Regions from separate parts of the Mus musculus genome. Here region 2 is reported to be linked to region 1. The links are microRNA targets in miRTarBase. Many come from high-throughput screens and were not tested one by one. Region 1 holds a microRNA gene; the other region holds the end of a gene's coding sequence.
The links. Region 1 holds the annotated microRNA mmu-miR-1843a-5p (UAUGGAGGUCUCUGUCUGACU, at 1,449-1,469, shown strand). A microRNA usually pairs through its seed, bases 2 to 8, with sites in the 3' UTR of a target mRNA and lowers its output. Matches are read on the target gene's strand: a 7mer-m8 pairs with bases 2 to 8, a 7mer-A1 pairs with bases 2 to 7 and ends in A, and an 8mer does both.

Region 2: miRTarBase lists Rnf169 as a target of mmu-miR-1843a-5p. Seed matches in the 3' UTR shown: 7mer-A1 at 2,097-2,103 and 7mer-A1 at 1,796-1,802.

What each region holds. Positions count from the first base shown.
Region 1 is chr12:80,390,123-80,393,122 of GRCm38, reverse strand. It overlaps Mir1843a (microRNA 1843a), which reads left to right and starts at 1,446; the gene lies at 1,446-1,510. The region is part of intron 5 of Dcaf5 (DDB1 and CUL4 associated factor 5); the gene reads left to right. It also overlaps Scarna3b.
Region 2 is chr7:99,922,213-99,925,865 of GRCm38, forward strand. It overlaps Rnf169 (ring finger protein 169), which reads right to left. Exons shown (of 6, transcript NM_175388.3): 6 at 1-3,653. The coding sequence ends at 3,090. Among named protein-coding and RNA genes, the nearest start is that of Gm5115, 8.9 kb to the right of the region's middle.

The sequences.
Region 1 (3,000 bases):
CAACCTTATTTATAATAGCCAGGAGCCGGAAAGAACCCAGATGTCCTTCAACAGAGAAATGGATACAGAAAATGTGCTACATTTACACAATGGAGTACAACTCAGCTATTAAAAACAATGAATTCATGAAATTCTTAGGCAAATGGATAGAACTAGAAAAAAATTACTAAATTTGATTTCTTAAAATTAAAGACCTCTGTTCATCAAAGACGGTATGACATCTGTGAAAAGATAAGCCAAGGACAAGTACTTGTAATTTGTAATGTATATATTGAATAAGAATTTATAGCCAGAGTATATAAAAAAGTATGATCTATGAAAGATAGAATTCCATTTTAAAGTAATTTTAATTTTTTAATCCTTCTATGTGTGTCTGGTGTCCCAAGAGGTCAGCAGAATGTGTAGGACTCCCTAGAAAATGGAGTTACAGATAGTTGTAAGCTGTGGGTACTGGGAATGTAACCCAGGACCTCTGGAAAGGCAACCCCAGGAATTAAAGGTCATCTTTACCTGAATGGCCAGCCTGAAGTTAATGAGAGTTAAAAAAGGAAGGAAGAAAAGTAAGGAAGCTTTTCAACTTCATTACTCATGAGGTAACTGAAAATGATTGGAATTGTTCCAGTGGAAAAGACTGATAGTGTTGACCGGGATGTGAGACTAAGGAAGCCATCCTGCTTTATACTTTCGGCAACTCTAAATAGGTACTGCCGTCAGGGGAAGCGGTCAGTGTCTGCTGAGGCTAAAGGTATGGCCTTTATAACATTTTGAGCCTCACTCTCAGATCTCCCTAAGAGATGCAATTGTGTTTCCACTGGGGATAAGTAAATACAGGAGTATGGCGACTGCTTTACTTAGTGTAGCCAAAAGCTGACACAAGCCTAATGTCCACTAAAGGACAGTGGATAGCAGAGCGGACAGTGGCCATGTAGTAAAACACTGGGCAAACATTAAAAGAACACCTTGATGCTCTCACACATGTAGATGTGCATGAGCCTCATGGCTAGAATTTTGAGTGAAAGAAGACAGCCACAGAGGAACCTGTCTTCTATGATTCCGTTTGTGTGGTGTTTAAGGACAGGCAGATTATAGGTGTTAGAATAGTGGTATCCCAGGGTAAGATATTGACCAAGCTTGAAATCATGTCTTGATCTGGTGTGGTTCATTGGTGTATACTTTTGAAATAACATATTCAACTAGGTACATGTAGAGTTAATACATAGTAGTGTATCATGTTAACTGCTGTGTTTGAATGTGTGGTGCTGAGGATCAACTCCAGGGTATCACACTACATAGACATGCGAAAGAGGTATATCTCTAGCCTATCTAAGGGACAATAAGTTTGGTCAATAAGTTTGACCAAAAGGAATTCAAACTGGAAGCTGCAAAACCAACCATGTAGACAAAGGAGAAAATGCCTTTGTTTGCAGAAGGCAGCGGTCCTACATGAATATGGAGGTCTCTGTCTGACTTAGAATAGCTGGCTGAGTCTGATCGTTCACCTCCATACAACCTTAGACTCTCACTCTACTTACTGATTTCCTTATTAGTTTGTTTAGGATCTCTGCTGATTAAATGTACTATCTTACAAAAAGGAAATAAACTGAAGTTACTACTCTGTTAGGAAAATAAGTGGAAGACTATTACTTCATTGAGTATTTACCTTATTCCCTGTGAGTCCAGTGCTCACAACAGCCTCATTAACTGTGTAGAGAGCTGATGAAGGGACAAAGAGAGATCAGGATTAGGAGGACCCAGGAGCTTAGATGGAACAGTAGAAAAAAAACAGCAAAGAGCAGACCTCCTCATCGAATAGCTCTACTTAGGGGCTAGCTAGTCAGCTCCTCTTCCTTTTCCTTCCCTCTCTTCCCTAGTCCTTCTGTCTTCCCTTCTCTTCTTTGTATTTTGAGACAAATATCACTGTGGAGCCCAAGGTAGCCTCAATATCTGGCCGTCCTCCTGTGCCATCTTCCCAAGTGCTCACTACAAGAGTGGCCCCCACACTTAGCTAGCCGGTCTCTTCCCCTTCTCCTCTTTCCTACCTACTGGCACATTTGTTAAACGCCTGCTTTCTCCCCAGCGCTCTGTTCTATTCTCCATTGCTTTTCTTAATGCCGTCCTCACTCCTACAGTTTTTCTGGGTGAAATCCTGGAGCCCCGCATAGGTTTCCTTGCTCTAATCGTGCCTGGCACCTCAAGTTCCAGCAGCCTCTCCGTCATAGCTGTCACCTCCTTCCCATAGTTGCTGTCCACACTGCCTCTTTACTTGGAATTTTGTATTTAGAGCAGCAGATTCTTAAACAATTTTTGCTGTTGTCTTATAGCTCGTTGGGGTTATCTTTGTTCATATTTATATACCCAGAACATATATTGTGTATGATGCTATAAAAATTTAAATAATTTTTAATCAATAACCTATTTCACTAGATTGAAAAATAAAAGAAGAACTGCTTAAGCAGCCTGTCCTTCTGTGCAGTCTCTCTTCTTCTAGATACAACACAAGGATTTGTCCTCTTTTCTTTTGATTTATTAAAACTTTTGTTGTATACGTATGCGTATTCGTTTGCATCTGCATCATGTGTGTGCCTAGTGCCTGTAGAGACCAGAAGAGGTCATTGGATCTCCTGGAACTAGATTTACTGGTGTTATGAGCCATCATGTGGATGTTGGAAATCAAATTTAGGTCCTCCATAAAAGCAGCCTGTGGCTCTTAAGTTCTGACCCATCTCTCCATCCCCCTTTTTCTGATTTTTGTTACAGGGCCTTGTTTTGTAACACAGACTGGCCTGGAACTCATGGTGCCCCAGCCTCCCAAGTACTAGAACTACAGTTGTCCTAGTGTACACCGCTCTCCTTGTTGTTCATCTGCTCAATTCCTAGCTACCCGAGGAAACTCCCTCACTAGACCTCCCTGGCAGATCTTTAAAAGCTTGCCCCTTGTGTTCTTAGCACCTACCATGGCGTTGCCACAAAATATGTATCTAGTGAGTCAAATTTCCTCTT
Region 2 (3,653 bases), not on the chromosome of region 1:
CAGGGTGGCAGGTCTAAGAGCTCAGAAGTGCCTTCTGAATGAACACAGCCTCCCTCACTAGCCTCCCATTTTAGTCAGTGGCCAGTTTGTAATCAGACAATAACTAAATAGCTTTAATTTTTGAGGGGCATTTTACCTTAAAAAAAAAAAAGACTTAAAAAAAAAAAGTACTTCTTCCATAATCAAAGAATTTTTTTTTAAATAAATGAGGTCAGTTAGGAAGGATTTCTAGTCAAGTCTCAGGCAGACTTTTTTCTTTCTTTCTTTTCTTTTATTTAAAGAGGCAACTAAGGGCCCGAGGCCAGAGGCTGGGTGCTGGCAGAGTACTAAGGGCCCGAGGCCAGAAGCTGGGTGCTGGCAGAGTACTTCCCGACTTGATACCAGCACATCAGGCCCAGATGATTTAGATGACTTCTTCAAACAGGTATAAGGGTTCCCCTCTAGAGAAGGGCTACCAAGCCCTCTTGAGGCATAGCACATCTCTTGGATTCCCCATCAGAAAGACTTAGCCTCCTGTCTCTCCTAGTTTCCTCTTTGCACACACACTAAGGAGCACAGCAGAATGTGGGCAGTGTGCAGGTCGCTAGGACTGCAGTGACTGCAGCTAGTTCTAGCTGTAAAAGGATGTCTTCCACTCAAGCTCACCAGCCTCCCAAGCGTTCTCTTCCCTGGTCCATTTTCTCCTATGGGATCCCCATCAGCAACTGTAGCTGCAATGGACTTCAGTCAAACACCAAGATGGGGAATTCTCAGAAATGAAGTGTTCAGGTTTCACTGAGTTTGAGAGCATCTTGTATGCAGATACGTTAGTAGTTTTTCCATTTTCAAGGGTAAGCAAACTAAAGAATAAGCCACGCCTTCCCAACATAAACTGTTTTGCCTCTATTTCAAGGGCCACTGCTCTCAGCAGGAATTATGGGAAAGAACACTGTCTACAGTCCTTGGGGTCTCCCTGGGGGGTGGGGTGGGGTACAGAGGGACAGCCCAGTGTCTGCAACACTCACTCAGCAGCAACAGCACCTGAGCCCACACTTGTTGCCACTGCTGCGCACTCTACTCAAGGTAGTCACTAGGGGCAGGGGAATATTTAAAATATATATCTTTCATCTATTAAAATATTTTATCTTCTTACCAAAACCAAAAATTAATTCCAACTGAAAGTGTTTTTCTAAGCACTAGTGACATATAAAAGGGTGGCAAGTGGAAAAATAAGTGTCTTTAAAGCTACCCAGTAAGCCTAGCCTTCCAATAATAATTACTAAGCTCATAAAGGAAATACATGACTTGGTAGACATTTCTAAGTTTTCTCTAATGGGATTTTCCGGTGTCCGCAGCCGGGGCCAGCTCTCCTCCCTGGGGTGCTGGCCTGCCTTCCCGCAGCCCTGAAAAGCCCTAAGTTGCCTAGGATGGGGAGTAAAGCCGTGTGAGTATAAAGTAATGAGACTATTTCATGTTTTAAAAACACACACACACTCCAGACTCACACAGTTCCTGCCAGAGCAGCCTCTGAAGCCACCTTGCTAATGGCCACCTTACACATCAAACATTCCTGCGAACAGTCAACTATGAGCTGCAGAGAAATTAAGTTCTGTCTGCTTCAAGGGACATAGTGCTTGGGAGTCCACATCCTTCTTCCCACCTTCAGAAGCTTCAACCAGTTTCTGTCTAACTCCAAATCTGAAGTTCTCTCTTCTAGAATTCCCAGAGACTGACATCTCCCTTGGCACAGAAAAGTGAGTCTAAGCTCCAGCTACTTCTAGCTTCGAACGTTTCAGAAGCATTCTGATCAGATGACTATGGAGTATCTTGCTGGGACCTTTTAAAGGGAACAAAAGTGTAAAAGCTCTGGAAGGTTTGTGAAAATGACAGTCACATGACTATGTAACAGCTCACACACACAGGAAAGGCCAGCCCACCTGAGAGTCCCTAAAACCGTATCATAATCCTATTCTCAATAAGCCCAGAAGGGCAGAAGCACCAAGCACCACCAGGGATGCAAAAGACACACGGTGTCAAGCTGCTAAGAAAAATAAACCCCAAAGGTCCATGGGACTGAATTGACCAGCTGCATCCAGCTAGATACCTTGTTTCCACAGTATGGAGTTTCAGCTTTGTCCTTTGCCTGACTTTAGGGAAGTTTTGCCATTGCCATGTGGGAAGTAGTAAGGAAACCTCCCAGTTCGGCCCCAGGCGAGGGCTCCCGGGAGAAGAGGAGCAGTAAGCAGGCAGGGAAGTCACTCCAGTCCTGCTTTCCATCCCGGCAAGGTGAAGTGCTTCTAGGTGGGCTTTGCACTGTCATGTTCAGTCATGGCCCTGGCGTGCCCTAGGCTGTACTTCCTTTGGACACCCTGTGATTGTAGAGAATCCATGGGACTTGTGGCCTGAGAGCCAGTGGTCAGTCTGGGCTAGGCCACCTGGCAGCTAAGAGAACCTGGACATCCAGCTGACAGCACTTAGCAATCAGGTCGCAGGAAGACCAGCGTCAGCCACACTGCTTCAATCAAATGTCATAGTTTAGACAAAGAATGCAAATAATTTCTGTAGAGGTAAAAGTTCTGAGCTCAACTGACTTGGGTATGTAGAAATAACATGTAGCGAAGGGGAGGGAAGATGAATGTGAGCATCTATTTATCTTGGCTCTTCCAAAGTACTGGCACTGCTTGTCTCTGAAAAGAATCCATGTTTATCTGCAAGGCTAACTTAAACACCACTCTGTGGGAAGAAGCCAGGGGCTTTATGAGTGTGAGAAGGTATCCATCCCATCTCCCTACCATCTCTAACACTGGCCCTCACATTCATGAATGAGGGCCACTCCCAAGCTCACTCCAAGTGGGTACTGCCAGATTTGGGCCCAGAAGCCTTCAGAGTTGGCTCACTCAAAGAGTGAGGAGTACTGGCCCTGGTCCTAGAAAGCCAAAGATGCCGACACTTGGCTTTTGAATACCAAGGCTCTGGATCCTCTCAGAACCATAGCAGACAGTGGTTTGCCATTGAGAGAAACTCAAAATGAGAACATTCAGCTAGCTCTTTTGGATAAATGACAGGTCAAGGACCTCTGAAGCAGGTAACATTATTCTATACATCAAGTGCTACTTGGCCCCAGCCAAGCTGCTGGACCTCAAGAGATACTGATCTACGCTTCCTTTTCGCCGGCTCATAGTCCGCCTCTCACTGTCAAACATGCGATGTGACTGCAGAGCCAGCTGCTGGTCCTCTTCCTCCTGCTGCAATTTCCGCCCCACCTCAAGCAGCCCTGGGTCCTTGGGGGCCAGATCCATGTCACTGCTCGGTGGTCGCAGTTTTTTAACACCGTTTTGTTCCAAGTGCTTGGTCTTACAGCGCCTTTTCCGGCCTCTGCGCAGGGAAGGAATCGGCTCCTCTCCTAGGCTGTTGACCAGAATGCCATTACCCAGATCAAAATGATTGAGTGTCTTCAGTTGTTGTTTTGTTTTGAGGACCCCACCCAAAACATCATTTTTGGGTAGCAGTGAATTAACCGCTGCAGTCTTCATGACTGTGCTTATGCAAGTTTTGACTAATGTGGCGTCCACGGTGGACCCTGACTCCTCACACTGCTCCCGTTCCAGAGAAGGCCCACTGGAGGCTCCTCCGTGCTCCGAGGAATGGCAGGTTTCCAGTGAGAACTCACGGCT